Arabidopsis thaliana: one gene and its partner. The protein of the gene in region 2 interacts with the protein of the main gene of each other region in a pairwise test. Each region holds a gene or a part of one and is shown on either strand. Other genes may lie near its edges.

Region 1 (8,164 bases), on a different chromosome or scaffold from region 2:
GGATCAAAGGTTCCTCAAATGGCTCTGCTGCGACAAACATCAAATCCTCATTCCACATGGGATTAATAGTCCTGCTCTGCGATACTCTAGTCCTCAACGCCTGGTTTCCCACTATAGCCTTCACATAAACCTCGGGATATCTTTGCTTATCAGTTGGTATCAAATCTTGAGCTTCAATTACATTAACCCTGAGGTACCAAAGCTTAGGAGAAAGATAAACCTTGGAACGGATGTTGGCAAGAGCATCAGTACCACTAACAGTTGCAGCATCAGAGTGCCAAGCTTCAGGGAAAGCTTCATCAGCTTGAGTACCAAACCAAACAGCCAACATAAGCTCTCCCTTGACTTTATCACCTTTCCTATCCTCGAGCCTATACCATTGCGGAGCCAAGGGACTATCAGGAGGAACTCTCTTAGGTACCTCATTCAAATCAAAGACAACCCGACCAATCAAATCATCTTTGACAAAATCCTTGTCCTTGACAGTAGCTTCAAGGAAAGAAGCTTGAATCCTATCTTTAGAAAAGGCGAAAACTTGGTTCCACTCAGGATTAGATTTCTTCTCGAAATGCCTAGTGGTGCCTTTGTAGTTTCCAAGCTTAACCTCAACATAAGGGTCACAACTACCAGTCATATCCTTGCCAGGTAACTCCTTTGCCTTAACCACACGAACATAGAGATACTGCATTTGCTCAACAAGGTCATAAGTACTGGTAAGCTTATCTCCAGAGAGTTTTCCTCCACCTAGATGAGGTCTCGTCTCCTTCAAGGAGAAATCTTCAGGAGGTGGTCTCTGCATCTTGCAGGCTTTAAGAAGACACACTAAACAAAGTTTCCTACACAGTTCCAAAACCACAAAAACGATTATTAAACATTCATATTCAATATTAGCTTAAAAAAGAGTTAAAAAACTTACTAGTGGGGTTTGTCGAGACAACTAATTTCTTCTCCACTTCAAAATCAGTAAATCTGAGAGAACACAACCATTTCAAAGAAAGCTAAGTGAAAAAACTCAGGTTTTGGGTAGGTGATGAAAATGCAGAGAAATAATAAAGTTGAAAAAGAATCTCGAATAAAGCATCGTATATTTTTTTTCTAGATCTTAAACAAAAAAAAACCTCGTTAGTATCTCCAAGGCAGAATCTAACGGCACAAATTCATGAATCCAAAAAAAAAAAAAACATATTCATGAAGCAACTTCATCGAGAGAAAACATACTTTTTTCTTCTTCTCGGAAACAGAACTACCAAAAAGACAATGAAGCAACGCGAATTACGCTGTGGGTGAAGATTTTAAAACCCAAATTTCCTTCTTTTGTTTCTCGATTTCAATGAGAGACAACACCAAACACAGAAAACGACAGAGAGAAAATAAAACCATGGAAAGGGAAAAAAAGAAGAAGAAGCAGAGAGCATGCGAGTTGGAGAAAATAGCCATTAGAGTAAGTTACAACGAAGAGAACCCTCTACTCAATAAAATTCTCAAAATACATGGAATAGCAGTTAGACGAAGATTAAAAAAAAAAAGGGAAGGTAAAGAAGACAAACCTTAGATCTTGAGAGAAGAATGGATCAGAATAAGAGACCCGGAAACGATTAAGACAGTCTCCTCTCCTCCTCCATAAATAAATACTAAAAGAAAGAGTCTCCTCTCCTCTCTTCTTCCTCGTTTTTTTCAACCCAAAATTAAATTTATAAAAAATTAAAGAGAGAAGAAGACAAGTAATAAAAAGCAGAGGAGAAGTACTGGGAAAAGAAAGTTCTGGAGAGAGTAAATAAACATTGAAGAAGGGATTTGTGTGTGCTCTCTCTCTTGTGTTTTATTGTCGTCGTCTTCTTCTTCTGCTTTTTTCTACAGTTTCCTTCTTTTTTTAACTCGGTGAAATACAAAAAAAAGAGAGGCACTGTTGCATACCAAATCGAGGTGGGGTCCATTTATAAATAAAAACACGCAAAGACATACTTCTCTCAGTTTTGAAATACCCTACATTACACACGTGTGGGAGACGACGGTCCTGCGTAATCTTTCAACGGTGGTCAAATTTTACAAAATTATAATAATCCCTCTTATTAACTTACTAAATATGGAATTTTAGCAGACAAACTATTGCATAATTGTGCAATTGATCTGGCCACTCAAAAGAAATGAAAAACACTATGGAATTGAAGAAGTCATTGGATTCCTCATCCTCGAGTGTTTTGGGTGAAGCATACGTACATTTATACAAAAGCCGTGTTTTGCTTTTTGCTGGACCCCGTTACTATTTTTTGTTAATTTTTCTGGTCAATAACGAAATAAATAAGTTAGGGGGTCCCATTTCGTTTTATCTTGTTGTCTGTCTACATAAGTATTTTTATTTTATCTTTCTTTCCTTCAAAATTTACCTTAAACGTCTAAATCTCTATCACGATCCGAATTCATAATTCCTACATTTATGTGTTTTATCTATCTAGACATGTGCATGCTTTTTTTACTTGATATAGGATTTTTTTATCTTCGTTTATCCAAACAAACAAATAAATGGTCACTGCTTTTGCTTTTTAACAAGTTTTTATTTTCTGTCTATGTAAAAGCCATCATGATTCGTTTAGGTGAATCAGAAGAAAATAACTCTGGGTAAAATTCCAAAATGTATACTATCAAATGGATATAGATAGACGACAAGTTTTAAACGCGTTAGCGAACTCTTCTTGTGGCTTTGGTATTTTAGTTTATTAGGTATAAAATGGAAATCATCCACACTTCGGAGCAATTGTTACAAAAATGCGATTATCTTTCTACCGACTAATGTTGGGTAGACATAATTAGTTTACAAAATGTTCTTTTTCCATTTGTCACCAAAGTTTTCTTCATTATTTTATGAAACAAGACTTGGGCAGTTGGACATATATACTATATTAGTAGTTAAATTGCATATGTTTGATCTGTTGATTTGTATATTCAGTTCTTAAACTAAATAACAAGTACTAACTATATTTCAGTATTTGTATATAATCATTTAGTATCGAAACGGTCTCGTGGTCGTGGCACCTTTAATTGCTGAGAGGGCCGTCTTTTACTTTTCGTTCTAGCTTTATGATGTGCCACCGAGTAGTTAAGAGAATGCTTCTGCTCCAAGTATTTTGACATAATTTAATCAAAAGTATTAGCTACTTTACACGGACAATAATCTAATTTTATAATTAGAGTAAGATAGAAATTAAAGAAGATATTGGTAGTCGTTGCAAATGACACGTGTTGATCATGCTTTGCTCGCATTTGTATAGCTTCGACTTGAAGGATTTCAGTCCACCGTACGTTTACCACGATCGAGTCACCCACTACGGTCATAACTAATACTATAATTTGATAAGTGTAATAAGAAGACAAATGATAAAAAAAAAAGAAGAAGACAAATTTGCTAAGATGACAGTTTGTAATCCATATCTTATCACATCTACAAGAGAGATATATACAACTCTTTTTCTTAAGAGATGATTAATGCGTTAAACAAGTTTAACCAGTTATCAAAAATATGTAAATCTTTTCTCCAGAGGTTTAAAGACAACGTCACGGTAATTGTTTCGTCGAAAAATGACTATTTTAAACTGTACGGTTCATGGTCACTTTTTGTGTATTTACATAAAGAAAAAATATTAAATTTTATACTCAGAATTAGGTATGGGCACGAAGCGGATATCCGGAAAAATTATGATATTTGTTATTCGATTCGTTTTAAACGAATACTTGATTTTGTGATTCGCTTTACTTCGAAAATTTCCAGATATCCGGAATTTCGAATATCCGGAATTTTTTGTGATATTTGCGGATATCCGCTTTGATACATTTAAATATTAAAAAAATATGTATACTATATAACTATATCATATATTCAAAAAATTTATCCGTGCGTTCCTTAATTGGTGTCTCCGTGTGCTTTTAAAATAAGTTCTAAATACCAAACATAACCGTTGTTGGTATCACCGGTCAACAAAATATTATCAAACTAATTCCAAAACTAAAACCCGATAGTTTTTTGATGCCATTGATCAAAACATAACATAAAAAAAAATGATCAAACAAACATCTTAACATAAAAACATAAAATGACAACAATACACAAACTATTTATGATATCTATATATAGATATACTATATTTTCTAATATATATAAAAAGATACGGATCGAAGCGGATATTCGATTTTTTAAAAAACAATATTTATTATTTGATTCGATTTTTACGAATACTATATTTTTCTATTTGCTTTGCTCCAAAATCTTACGAATATTCGGATTTTTCGAATCAAATTAAATCAAATACCGAATCGAAACGGATCAAATCAAATCAAATCAGAATATTGAGCTAGCTGAATGAATGAGATAACCTAAGAATCCAAAAGTTGATAGTGTTCCCTTTCCGAATTCCAATAGTAGCTTGATAACATTTATTTAACGGCGATAAATTCAACCGTTAGTTTGATTACCAATCAAATAATTGCTTGCAATAGACGGATGAAACGAGTGGTAAGAATAGGTGATTGAAACAAACGGTTAAAAGCTTAAACAAAATAGGTGAGTTTGCAACCTCTCTTGTTCACCATTGGAATATTTTAGTTATTTAACGTTTCTTAGATTTTTAAAACTGTAATGTATTTGAATTATTTACTAAAGAGTTTTGTTTTTCTTTGTTTTTTAAATATTTTTAGTTATTTATTAAATATTTTAATTTAGTTTTTTTTTTTTACTGTTTAACCGTTTGTTACTAATCATAACTATTATTTAACGGTTCATTTTAAATTATTTATCATTTTTTCTTTTAATATATTTTCTAACCGTTTTTTTTTATCAGTCTTTTTTGTAAGTGTTAAATAAAATAACCGCCTTATTTAAACGATATTACCAATTGGTTTAATTTTAGGTTGTTCATCTTTTCTAACCGTTTTTTTCTACCCGCCTTTTTCTGTAACTGCTAAAAAACATAACCGTCTCATTTAAACGATGTTTACCCATTGCAAACCATTTTCCTTAAACAAGCGGACAATATTTAAATTGCAATGAAAGCGAGTTATGAGTTCTTTTGGCCTAAACTTCCCAATTTTATCTCTCTTTTTCCCACTAATCTTCTAACAATTTTAATTAACAGTGACAACTTACAAGTACTTAGGTAACCAAGTATATTTCCCTATTGTAAAACCTAATTATGAGTTGTGATGATCACCTTTTCTCCTTTTGACGAACGCTTAGGACCTAACTTATTGCAACAATGGCCTAACTAAAACTTAAATGCGATTTGCATTCAATTCTCAAATGGGCCTCTTTAGTTAACATGTTATCTCCGTTCATCTGACGTGTCATAGCTCAGATCAAAGGTTAATCTACTCGTAAATCCAACGACCAAAGAAACGAAGCGTACGTTACTAACATACACGTGCACGCACTGTAACCATCTCTCTCTCTGCTCTTCTCCTTCAATGAAATGATTCGTCACCCAAAGAAAGATCTGCAACTTCACCACCGGACCAGTCTCTCTCTATCTCTTCTGTCTCTCTACCTCGCGCGACGAATCAATCATGACTGAAGAACAAGACCTCATCGACCAATCACCACCACCTTCAGCACCCGACCCTGAACCAAACTCGAGCACGAATCCGAATTCAGTAATCCATCCAAGGCGTGTGTCTTTCGAGCACGGACTCCTCCCGATCCAGAAACTCGTTTTCACCGACCCGATCCAAACCTTAGCCCCTGTCAAGCAGAAGCTAGCCGATGCGGCTTCGAATAACCGCGTTGGATCGGCTGCAATCGCCGACGTTCTCCAGATCTCCGGCGACCATGCGCGTCTCGTTCTCGAGACTCTCGGTTCGGTGCTTCATTCCGAGTCTGACCCTCTGGTTCGGGCGAAACCTGAGGAAGTTGATTCCGTCGGAGCTGATTTGCGGGATCTTATTTTGTTCCTGTACATTCAATCGTATAAGAAGTTGCTTCCTAGGACGCATAAGGACTCCGCAGCGGTGGCTGATGTTTGGCCATCGACTTCAGCTTTTGATGGATACTTGTCTGCGTTATCGCCAATTCAGGCAAGTTTCTTACTTTTTTTGGCCCTCTTATTATAATGTGCCTCAATCCCAGCGCCTGCGATTTGTTTGGTATTGAAATGGAACTGTTGTACTCGAGTATGGAATTGGAACGTGGTAGAGAATAACTTATTTCCATTTCGCATTGTATTTAACTAAAATTTGCAATGCAAGTTTAAGTTTTCTGAGTCATTTGATTTACCTGAAACTTAGAGTTAAGCAATGTCGGAAATTTGGGTGATTAATTGAATTGATGGTGGCTATAGTTTCGTAACAATTCTCAATGAGGAAGATGCTTACTTGTATTTAATTGCCAGTCCCCTTTCTCTGATGACTCTGGGGCAATGGTAATTGGTTAGTTTACTAACTAAAGTCAAACAGTCGCCAGCTTGCTTTGTTTTGTGGTTCGGAATCTGATTCTTTTTCCGTTGTACCTTATTTTGTTTGGTCCTTTCACGTGGTTTATTTGGTGATAATGCTTGGTGTGTTCTTGAATTTTGACTCGGGTCTCCAGTCCTGTAATATTCTGTTTCCTGTGTGGTATGGATGTTCTATTGAGTCTTTTAGAAAACAGTCATATAATCTTAAGCTTTTCAGTGTTTTCTACAGTCACTGTTCTTTGGTATTCTATCGTTTCTCATCACATGGGTCGAACCAACTTTATTGGAGCTAAAATTGTTATTTATATCTCCTTTTCATCATTTCTGCAGCTTGTTCGCAGCAACAGCCGTCGATTTATGCCATCACAGGCAGATGATGAAGCTCATCAGTTGTCATATCTGCAAAAACATTTAGCAAACATCATTTCTCTCCTTGCAGAGCCTGTGGAGGGAGAAGGAGATGAATCATTGGTAAGTTCTAATCTTTCTTATATTCTCAGGGGGTGTCACTGTTCTAAGCTACAAGAATATAAAATTCTGATGTTGGAATAAGAATTTTTTAGGAAATGAAAGAGAACACAAGTTAATTTTTTTTTTCTTGTCCAATATCGTTCAGGTTTTCTCTATGGAGGCGTTCGAGCATCTGCGTTTTCTTGTTCAGTTTGGTGATAAGGGATCTGATGTATCTCCATTGAGCCAAGCTACTCCTTTTTTTGCAAATTCTGATCCGGATATGCCCGCTGTTCCAGTCCCCGCTTCCCAAGTGCATGACTGGCTTCTGCAAAACATAGCTTCCGCTTTAGAAAGCATTACTGAGAGAATTTCTGGAAAAGAGAACGGACCTTCTAACGATCAAGATGATGCGATGTCAGATGTTTGTGCTGCTCCGAACAAGGTTGCACCTAGTACTAGAGGCCCGTGTTTAATCGAGGGAGTCTCCAAGACTTCACTTGTTAAGCAAGCCTCCGATCTAAGGGGTAGATCTGTGAAGGTCTGACTGTTCCTTGTTCCGTTTTTCTTCCAGTCATGGAATCTCTGTGCAAGCATGTCAACTCCTTGTTTTGTGTATTTTTCAGGTTGTCAATTGCCATGATTCTGTAATTTATCTTTTAGCACCATTGCGATATGCAACTGTGCACGGATGTTCTGATACTACTATAGTTTTGGGAGCTGTTGGCAAGGTATGGAAACAATGCTTCTTCCTTCTTTATCTTTTCTGAAGATAGTCAAAGCAACATTTAACAAGTTATAATATCTGCCAACTTTTATTAAAAGATGTATCAAACATAATTCCGTATTTATTTCTGCAGGCAATAAAAGTTGAGCACTGTGAAAGAGTTCATGTGATTGTAGCTGCCAAACGAGTGTGCATTGCCAATTGTCGTGAATGTGTATTCTTCTTGGGAGTCAATCAGCGGCCACTTATTGTTGGTGATAACCACAAACTGCAGGTGAAGCTTCTCTTTAAGATTGTGGTTTAATTTACAAGTTTTATGTCATGTTGCTCTTATTTACCTTTCTGATATTAAGGTAAAAAAAATTGAGTGGCTAGACTTTTTACTAGATTTAGTTTGGTTAGTTTGGTTAATAAGCCGTTTCGGACACGTCATCAAGTCTAGTGGAAACAAACTTGGAGGGGTGGCTAGACTGCTGCTAGATACGTTTAGTCAAATGTTTTCCTCAAGAAGGTTTTACTGGTTTTTAAGAGTGCGGGCATTGTCAGATATTGC
Region 2 (10,926 bases):
ACCATACATACACCACACGAAGTCTCCTTTTCTTTATTTTGCTGTGTGTTAATGAAAATGTAATATTTACATGTAAATGCAGTTGTTGATGTTAGATATAAATATGCGTACGACAAAATTTACAGACGAATCGGATAGAGAAAACATAAATGTTATCAACACCCAAGTTGTAGTGTTGTACAACGTTACAAAAAGAAGCAAAGAATTAAAACCAAAAAAAAAAAAAAAAAAAGTAGGAATCTTCCAGCTTCCAAGATTTCTTGATTCATTCACAAGCAATGCTAAAGAATTAAGAATTTTAAATCAGTAGTTTTGTGACTAATCCTTATACAAAGGCAAAGAATCTAATTGTCCGTGTTAGTCCCTTTATATATATCGTCGAACCATATCAAAGCAATCAAATCAATCTTTGCTCTCTATCCTTTCCAAGCAATTAACTGAAGTCCATCAAAACCTTCTCTGACAATGGTGCCTCCAAACCCAGCCCACCAACCGGCTCGGCGAACGCAACCGCAACTGCAACCCCAATCGCAACCTCGAGCACAACCCCTGCCGGGCAGGCGTATGAACCCCGTCCTATGCATCATCGTCGCCCTCGTCCTCTTGGGACTCCTCGTGGGTCTCGCCATATTGATCACATACCTCACACTCAGGCCAAAGCGACTCATCTACACGGTAGAAGCCGCGTCGGTCCAAGAGTTTGCTATAGGCAACAATGACGATCACATCAACGCAAAATTCAGCTACGTGATCAAATCATACAACCCGGAGAAACATGTCTCCGTAAGATACCACTCCATGCGTATCTCCACGGCTCATCATAACCAGTCCGTGGCTCACAAAAATATCTCTCCTTTCAAGCAACGTCCTAAGAACGAGACTAGGATTGAGACGCAGCTTGTGTCCCACAATGTGGCACTGTCTAAGTTCAATGCCAGGGACTTAAGGGCTGAAAAATCAAAAGGGACGATCGAAATGGAAGTGTATATAACGGCTAGAGTGAGCTACAAGACGTGGATTTTCCGGTCGAGAAGACGTACGTTGAAGGCTGTGTGTACGCCGGTAATGATCAACGTTACATCAAGCTCGTTGGATGGATTCCAGAGAGTGTTATGCAAAACTCGTCTTTAGTTTGATTTATCCTCATCTTGAATTGGTTTCATTTGTGTGCAAAATTTGCTATATGTGACATTGATTGATTGTGTGTGTGTTTTTCCTTTTTAAATTTCCTCTTTGGTTTTGTTCTTTTCTGCCAGTCATTCCATTTCTCTTTTCTTTTCATCATTAATTATTATATTTTTTATTTTTTTGGGCTTAAAATGCTTTACATTTTTATTGCTCTGTAAGTGATTCGATTTTTATTTCTAATAATATATGACGATTTAATAACTTCATCAAGATTTTTATAACGTAAGATTACATGCAAAATCCGTATATGTCGGGATCTCTAACAAAACTTGGATAGACACAAATTGATGGAGGTTCTTAAATAAGCAGAGAGGTAAAACAAACATATAAATTAGTCGCCAGGTACGTAAACAGACAGTTAACAACAACAAGATAAAAAAAAAAAATAGAGAGAGACAAAGATTATCAACTATTTTTAGTAGTGTTAATTTCTTCTAATAAGACAATGTAACACCAAGATTTTGTAATTTTTTCTGGAAACTGTAAATCTCTTTCTCTTGATCTTTTTCTTCTCTTGAGAAGAAAAAGAATCTAGGAGAAATGGAGTCGCGTAACGAGGCATATGAGGGGGCATACAACGCAACCTTCTGGGGGGATTTCTCATATCATGGATATGGCTTTAGTGAAGACGGGTCCAAGTTCTGCGAACAAATACCGATTCTTGTGAACTCTTTTGGCGTGTGGGAGAAGCTAGATTTACCTATACGCGGGATGAAGATATGGGACTACAGTCTTCCCCATCTCGAGAGCGTAATCGTCCTAGTTCTCTGTTTATGGCAGTTTTTTTATTTATCCCTAAAGAAGATAGGCCTCCCTGTGCCAAAGATCACCTCCATGATGATTGTAAGAACCCTTTCTTCCTCTTTTGTTCTTTTGTATAAAAGTTGTTTGCATTGACTGATTGATCGGAAAATTATGTTGAAGGCCGGGGCAGCTTTGAGCCAAACGAATCTTTTGCCGAATGACTGGACGATCCAGCACATTTTATTCCCGGATGATACTAGGCCAAAAGTGCCTGAGACGCTAGGTGGGTTCGCTTTTGTCTTTTATTGGTTCATCGAAGGTGTTAAAATGGATGTTGGGATGGTTAGGAAGACAGGTACGAAAGTGATTGTAACAGGAATTGCCACTGTTATTCTCCCCATTATCGCGGCCAACATGGTGTTTGGTAAGCTAAGAGAGACCGGGGGGAAATACTTGACAGGAATGGAGTACAGAACAATTTTATTCATGCAGAGCATCTCGGCATTCACGGGTATCTCAAGGCTATTAAGGGATCTCCGGATCAACCACTCAGAGTTCGGCAGGATCGTGATTTCGACCGCTATGGTGGCGGATGGAACGGGTTTTGGTGTTAATCTATTTGCCCTTGTGGCTTGGATGGACTGGAGGGTTTCTGCGCTGCAAGGCGTAGGAATTATCGGATATGTCATATTCATGGTTTGGGTTGTGAGACCGGCCATGTTTTGGGTGATCAAACGGACACCACAAGAGAGACCGGTGAAGGAATGCTTCATCTACATCATACTCATTTTAGCCTTCGGTGGTTACTACTTTTTGAAGGAAATTCACATGTTTCCGGCTGTTGGACCCTTCCTTTTGGGTTTGTGTGTGCCTCACGGTCCTCCTCTAGGGTCTCAACTGGTAGAAAAGTTTGAAAGCTTTAACACTGGAATCCTTTTGCCACTTTTCTTGTTCTTCTCAATGCTGCAAATCGATGGACCTTGGTTAGCTAACCAGATCGGTCAACTAAGGCATTTTGACGGTCAGTTGTATGAAGCCTTGACCATCATCATCGTTGTCTTTGTCGCCAAGATTATCTTCTCAATGATTCCTGCATTGCTAGCCAAAATGCCTCTGACCGACTCTTTCGTTATGGCACTCATCCTCAGCAACAAAGGAATTGTTGAGCTGTGTTATTTTCTGTATGGAGTTGAAAGCAATGTGAGTTCCCATATTTAACTTTATATTCAAGACAATTCAACTCTCCAACACTTAATGTTTTTTTTTTTCTTTCTGTCTTATAAGATTATTTTGTTGTGTTACAGGTTCTTCATGTGAAGTCCTTCACGATTATGGCAACGATGATTTTAGTGAGCTCTACGATATCACCAGTGTTGATACATTACCTATATGATTCGTCAAAACGATTCATTAGTTTCCAGAAGCGGAATCTAATGAGCTTGAAGCTTGGATCAGAGCTGAAGTTTCTAGTGTGCATTCACAAAGCAGACCACATCTCAGGGATGATCAACCTTCTAGCACAGTCTTTTCCTCTACATGAATCCACAATAAGTTGCTACGTGATTCACCTCGTCGAGCTTGTGGGTTTAGACAATCCAGTCTTTATCTCCCACCAAATGCAAAAAGCCGAACCTGGAAACCGGTCTTATTCAAACAACGTCCTAATCGCTTTTGATAACTTCAAACATTACTGGAAATCGATATCGCTGGAATTGTTCACATGCATCTCAAACCCTAGGTACATGCATCAAGAGATTTACTCGCTCGCTCTCGACAAACAAGCTTCTTTTCTCATGCTCCCTTTCCACATTATATGGTCCCTTGACCAGACAACGGTGGTCTCAGACGATGTCATGCGTAGGAACGCTAACTTAAATGTCTTGAGACAAGCACCTTGCTCCGTGGGGATCTTTGTCCATCGTCAAAAGCTTTTATCTGCGCAAAAGAGCAGTCCGTCTTTTGAGGTAACACATATTTGAAGGTTTGATTGTTCCATACGCTAATCATTAGTTTCCGTGCTTGAATTTGTGTTTACGTGTGAAACTTGATTTGTCTAAAACCAGGTCTGCGCAATTTTCGTGGGCGGGAAAGACGACAGAGAAGCCTTGGCATTGGGAAGGCAAATGATGAGGAATCCGAATGTGAACCTGACAGTGTTGAAGCTAATCCCAGCGAAAATGGATGGGATGACTACAGGGTGGGATCAGATGCTGGACTCGGCAGAGGTTAAGGAGGTTCTGAGGAACAATAACAATACTGTTGGACAACATAGTTTTGTGGAATACGTAGAGGAGACAGTTAACGACGGTTCCGACACATCAACACTCCTTCTCTCGATTGCTAATTCTTTTGATTTATTCGTGGTGGGGAGGAGCGCCGGAGTAGGGACCGACGTGGTGAGTGCATTGAGTGAGTGGACGGAGTTTGATGAGTTAGGTGTGATTGGAGATCTGTTGGTGTCTCAAGATTTTCCCCGTAGAGGGTCGGTGTTGGTGGTGCAACAACAACAGAATGTAGCTTGTAGATGATATTACATTGGCAACTACTCTTTATTCATTTATAAGATACAAAAAATAGAAATACACTTCTCACACGAGACACATTTGTAGCCCCAAATTTTTAAGTGACAGTTCGTCTCCGTGGCCTTGTGATGATAACATTTGCAAATATGACTTTAAATTTAATTGATTCCACATAATTTTTTAAAAACAATGAAATCAGAAAAAAATAGTACATGTTTTATAATTAAATTAACATTCAATGTGAGAGTTACATCTATTTACATGTTTTACAAGTTTTAATCTCCTTTTCGCTATACAATAAAGAAAAACGGCAAAAATAAGCAAACTAGACAAATAAATTACATAGCAAATTAGTATATAGTCTTAAAAGACCTACTTGCCACCAATTTGATCATTAAAAATGATGAGAATTTCACGCACGTAGTATACATTCAATGAAATTACCCAATTAAAACCTTTAGAGGAATCTATTACCAACCAATAGGAATTGAGTTCAAAATGGTTTGTAGGTGATTTACACTTGTTCTCATTTCTTTATAGTCTTAAGACCACAAATACGACTAGCCAATGAATATTTAATGCCTAACTACTTGGAAGAATCTTAATCCTGTGATTATGCTTTACGTATACGTAGGGTTCAAGCATTAATTAGTAATTTTGAATTTGGAGAAATTTTATAAGAGAGTAATTTGGTATCCTGACCTAGGTACAATATTCTTTAGTTTATATTGTTATTTATCTTACCCTGCCTTGATTAGTAAGACTCTTTTAGTATCCATTTTCCTTTGCTATATTATTTGGTTTAATTTGCATGCTTAGCTGTTTGAATGACTTAATTTGTATGGTGATTTTAAAGTATAAGTTCCTATTTCACCAAACATAGAAAAAATTGTCAAAACAAAAATATATATATCCCTGAGAAAGTGTGCAAGTGGATGCAAAATTCCCTAAATATATATCGTTATATGTATAGCTTTGGCGTTGTTGATTGGTGAAATAGACGATGTACAATCATACGTGTGCTAATGTTGACAAGGAACAAGAGATGGAGAAGAATGAAGCTATAAAAAGAAAACAAAATGGGTAAATATTAACTGTACCTGAGATGCGTATCTGTTGTTTGCTGGTTATTCGACCTTAATTAGTCAACGTTTATAACAAAACCATCCCTAGTCTTCTTCTTTCCCAATCGAATTACAAACCCTAAATCATTCCATTAGATCTTCTTGATCCCTAAGCAAGTCTCTTCGTTAACTTTTGTCTTTCTCCTTAAAATGGCTACAGAGGAGATAGACATGAGTTATTGGGACGTGTCATGGGGAGAATTCAATGAAGACAAGAACTCGTCTATCTTCTGCGAGTCACACCCTCACATAGTAAATTCGCACGGGATATGGGAGGTTATGACTTTCAAGAGAGGGATGAACTTCTGGGAATATCCGCTCCCGAATCTCGAGATCTTAATCTTTTCTACTTTTTTTATATGGCGGCTTCTCGACATCTCATTCAACAAAATTGGTCTTCGAGTACCTAGATTCACATATATGATGATCGTGAGTTTTCTTAATCTCCCTCTTCCCTCCACGTTTTAAATTTTAAAATCAGTACGGTGCATATTCCTAAACGTTGTAATGCCTTGTTGTTGAAGGCAGGGATAATTTTAGGTCAAACTTGCCATTTCAGCAACAAGTCTTGGATCCATGACATTTTTTTCCCTGATGATAACCGACCAAAGGTGGCCGAGACCCTAGGGGCTTTCGGCTTCGTTTTATATTGGTTCCTCAAAGGTGTGACCATGGATGCCGAATTGCCATTTAGGACGGAGAAAAGGTCTAGTGTGATCGGATTCATTACAGTAATTATACCCTTGATTTGTGGCAGCCTCACTTTTAGATATAGAGAACGAAGAGGGGACTCAAGCATATTAAGGATGGAATACAGGTTGATCATATTCTTGCAAAGCATATCCGCGTTCACGAGCATCGACACACTCCTAAAAGACCTCCAGATCAAACACTCAGAGTTTGGGAGGATAGCCCTCTCTGGGGCTATGGTGACTGACATGTTGGCTTTTGGTGTAACATTTTTTAATGCAATCTACTACGAAAAATTGTACGGCTTCATGCAAACCGTAGGTTTCTGCCTCTTTGTCGTCGTTATGATATGCGTTGTGCGGCCGGCTATGTATTGGGTGATCAAGCAGACTCCAGAAGGGAGGCCGGTCAAGGATTTCTACCTCTACTCGATTTTTGGGATTGCTTTCGCCTGCTTCACTTTTTTTAACAAGGTTATTCATCTTTTTGGACCCGCGGGATCATTTGTTTTCGGCTTGACGGTTCCAAATGGATATCCTTTAGGTACTACTTTGATTCAAAAGTTTGAGAGCTTTAATCTTGGCTCTATTTTGCCACTCTTTGGATCATTAACCATGATGCAAGTAGATCTCTTACGGTTGTTCAAAGAGAGTGGAGATTTAATACGGATGGAGGGTCAAATCTATGAGGTCATTTCCTTTATTCTTTTGGTGAATACCACAAAATTCGTTGTTACCACCATAACCGCGTATGCTTTTAAAATGCCCTTGAGAGACTCTTTTGCTTTAGCCCTTGTGCTTAGTAATAAGGGGATCTTCGAGCTCGCCTACTACACGTACGCGGTTGAATTAAAGGTGCGTACAATTAAACTCTTCTATATATATTTAAAGTCAGAAGAATTAGTTTATTTTCATAAAAATTAATCAAATCTTTGGACATGTTTCACAGCTAATAAGGCCAGAGGTTTTCACAATCCTAGCTGCCTACACCCTCTTGAACTCTATCTTTATACCAATGCTCTTGGAGCTCGTGCATGACCCAACCAAAAGATTCAGATGCTACCGAAAAAGGAATTTGGGCATCTTGAAAGACGGTGCGGCTCTCCAATGTCTTATGTGCGTCTACAGACCTGATCACATAACTTCCATGACCGACCTCTTGGAAACTTTTAGCCCATCACAAGATTCCCCAATGGCGTGTAACATACTTCACCTCGTCGAGCTTGTGGGTCAAGCCAATCCTATGTTCATTTCCCACCAGTTGCAAAAACCAGAGCCCGGAAGTACTTCTCTGTCTGACAATGTCATAATCTCCTTCCGTGGCTTCCAAAGACAATTCTTTGAATACACATCGTTGGATATTTTCACTTCCGTCTCCGTGTCCCAACACATGCATGAGGACATTTGTTGGCTAGCCCTATCCAGAAGCCTATCTTTGATTGTGCTTCCTTTCCACCGAACCTGGTCCGTTGATCGATCCACGGTTATCTCCAACGATGATAATCTGAGAATGCTCAACGTTAACGTCCTGAGACGAGCCCCATGCTCTGTTGGAATCTTCGTCTATCGCAAGCCCATCGTTGAATCTCATATGGCTAAGTCCCACAGCAAGGTGCTTTTCATTTTATTTTGAAAACTAATTAATTATCCGTTTGGGTACGTGAAAATACAAATTTCAGAATTTTATAAAATCTAAAAGAATATTTTTGCAACGTCTAAATGAAATTAAATGCTGAAAGAAAATCTTTTCATTTTCCTTTACCATTTATGATGAACAAAAGAAATGGTACTAATATATTAGCATTTTTAACCTGATAAAACTCTCATCTTTGCAGATATGTTTGATTTTTAACGGTGGAAAAGACGATAGAGAAGCTTTGGCGATAACAAATCGAATGAGACTGACAGAAAAACGAACAAGGCTAACGATCATAAGATTCATTCCAAAATCTTCTGAAATGGATAACGATGAGTGGGAGCAACAGCAATCGATTAACCTAAAGGAGTCCGTGACTAGCATCGTTGGGTCCAACATCAAAGAAAATGATGCCAAGGTGACATATATCGATAAGGCGGTTTCTGATGGATCTGAGACCTCAAGAATCTTACGAGCAATGGCAAATGATTATGACTTGTTTATCGTTGGAAGCGGCAGCGGAATAGGAACTGAGGCTACTAGCGGAATTAGTGAATGGACAGAGTTCAATGAATTGGGACCTATTGGAGATTTATTAGCATCACATGAATATCCTTCAAGTGCATCAGTGTTGGTTGTTCAAAAACAAGTGTACATTCATCATACAAAAAGCCAAAGGAGAAAATCTTTCTAAGAAATAATGCGAGATATGTTCAATGCTCAGCTTTTCAATGTTGTATTTCTCTACATCAATAAACATTAGTTTTAGGCTGCTTGAAGTTATGGAGTAATTGATTCGAGTTTCTTCTGGATATGATGATATAAACTTCACGATTTTTTTAATCAAATTTTGAGTTAACAAGATTAGAGTAATTTCTTGTGGCAGTGCCTGCTCTATGATAACGCCTTCCAACTATAGCTGCCTTTGTTATCACAATTCAAAAATATATATTCTCTTGTAGTAACAGGGTCTGTTTAACATACACACTTTGTCACGTTATAATTAAGTTTAGTATGTGTTAGAGATATCAGAGGGAACAGAGCAAAATACTCTGTTTTTCTCAACAAAAAGAGATTTTGGTACCTAACAGAGTACTCTGCTCTGTTCCCTTTGATAAAAGATTGAATTTGAGGTCTTAATTAATGGATCATCTTATTAAAAATGGGTAAAGCGTTTATTTAGACTGCCTAAAGAGGTCATTTTATTTTAAAGTAATACAACTTACAAGCGCCAAAAACAAAGACAACACCTGGACGAGACAATCCCTATATTTATACCCTTATCCTAATTTTAGAGATCCTTTGGGATCTGTGTGAAACCATCAGACCGGTTTTAATTTTAGTTCTTTTTTTGACTGCAAAATCTTTTCATTGTCAATTTTTTTTTTTGTTCTTTTTGGTTTTACGTAGACAAGATTTGTCCCAAATGGATGCAGAAAATGCGACTTGGCGCAAAGAGTTCATGTGGAACAACGATGAGAAAAGAGCAGAGATGGGGACGAAGATGTTTTGCGATGTAAGTCCACATATAATGTTGAACTCACATGGCGTTGCAGAGAAAATGGCTTCCGGATCTAAGGGAATGGATTTTTGGGAGTACCCTCTTCCACAATTGGAGATCATTATTCTCTCCATATTCCTATTATGGCGTTTATTTGATATGTTGTTCAAGAAGTTAGGTGTTCCTATCCCCAAGTTCACCTCCATGATGCTTGTACGTAATTACGGGTTTCAAATATCCGCATGTCATTGGGGATGTTCGAATAATATAACACATTTTCTTTTCTTGTTCTTGAAGGTCGGAGCAGTCTTAAGTGAGATGTTTGGATCTATGCAAATACCATGTTTAAAGCATATATTTATCCATTATAACCAGTATATGACAAAGGTTCCTGATACTATAGGCGCATTTGCTTTTGTCCTAGATTGGTTTCTAAGGGGAGTGACTACAGATGTTGGAATAATGAAAAAGTCAGGAACTAAGAGTGTTGTAATTGGGATCACCTCAATGATCATCCCATGGCAAATAGGAAAACTCCTTTATTCATCTAGAGAGAAATCAAGTATTCTGACCATGACAGAAATGGAGTATACCGTAATGACATTCACAATGAGCATGACGCCTTTCACTTGCGTCAACATGTTGCTTACTGACCTCAAGATAGTTCACACTGATTTCGGCCAAATAGCTCAGTCAGCGGGAATGGTAACAGATTTGCTTGCCTTTTTCTTGACTGTATCGGCTTACGTTAGCCGTGATGAAACTCAAGGAGTGAAAATGGGATTAGCTTTTATGGCATTCTTTATTTTTGTGTACCTTGTGCGACAATTTATGCTTTGGGTTATAAGACATACGCCAGAAGGAGCCCCGGTGAAGAACGTCTATCTCTACATTGGTCTCTTGCTTGCTTACTTATCTTATCTTTATTGGAGCCGCTTCTTATTCTTCGGACCGCTAGGGGCATTTGCTCTTGGTTTGGCTGTCCCTAACGGGCCGCCATTAGGATCAGTATTTATACAAAAATTCGATAGCTTCAACGAGGGCATTTTTTTACCCCTCTTTGGATCACTTAGCATGATCAAACTAGATTGGTCATTTCTACGAAAGGAGTTTGGAAATGGAAGGCATCTCCATGGACATATGTACGAGTGTTTTTCCTTCCTTCCCATCGTATACATAGCGAAATTCGCTACTTCGTTTTTAGCCGCCTTAGCTACAAAGATACCTTTGAGAGACTCAATTATCCTAGGTGTCATTATGGGCACCAAGAGTAGTTTCGAGTTGGGTTACGTACTTACAGCCTTCGAAAAAGACGTAAGAATATTTTAGCTATACTCATATAACGGATATGATGATCATCTTAATTTGTATATATATTTCTGTTTTAATGTTTCTCATTTTTAACAGAGGATTAGTCTGGAGGTCTTGTCGCTCCTGGGCGTATACATTCTCGTAAACTCTTTGTTAACACCAATGGCTATACATTTCCTGTATGACCGGTCTAAGAGATTTGTGTGTTACG

The links. The genes of interacting proteins can lie anywhere in the genome.
Region 1: the proteins of CHX6A (region 2) and AT3G57880 interact in a protein complementation assay, tested with the Arabidopsis thaliana proteins (one large-scale study listed by BioGRID).

The regions. Positions count from the first base shown.
Region 1 is NC_003074.8:21,432,721-21,440,884, forward strand, and holds the start of AT3G57880 (Calcium-dependent lipid-binding (CaLB domain) plant phosphoribosyltransferase family protein), read right to left. Parts: upstream 1,929-8,164; 5' UTR 1,548-1,928; exon of another isoform or gene 970-1,547; 5' UTR 917-969; intron 837-916; 5' UTR 800-836; coding exon 1-799. Other genes in the region: AT3G57890 (Tubulin binding cofactor C domain-containing protein), read left to right, coding at 5,551-6,057, 6,569-6,676, 6,765-6,905, 7,051-7,425, 7,511-7,615, 7,745-7,885. UniProt on the Arabidopsis thaliana protein: Required for proliferation and differentiation of shoot stem cells in the shoot apical meristem (SAM), thus determining the appropriate balance between the maintenance of shoot stem cells and their differentiation into other aboveground plant parts via the control of subcellular localization and intercellular trafficking of STM in the shoot apex.
Region 2 is NC_003070.9:2,549,877-2,560,802, reverse strand, and holds CHX6A (cation/H+ exchanger 6A), read left to right. Parts: upstream 1-5,573; 5' UTR 5,574-5,728; coding exon 5,729-6,007; intron 6,008-6,102; coding exon 6,103-7,122; intron 7,123-7,216; coding exon 7,217-7,879; intron 7,880-8,102; coding exon 8,103-8,597; 3' UTR 8,598-8,868; downstream 8,869-10,926. Other genes in the region: AT1G08160 (Late embryogenesis abundant (LEA) hydroxyproline-rich glycoprotein family), read left to right, coding at 466-1,131; ATCHX5 (Cation/hydrogen exchanger family protein), read left to right, coding at 1,729-2,031, 2,113-3,132, 3,237-3,896, 3,996-4,460; CHX6B (cation/H+ exchanger 6B), read left to right, coding at 9,330-9,617, 9,702-10,718, 10,812-10,926. UniProt on the Arabidopsis thaliana protein: May operate as a cation/H(+) antiporter.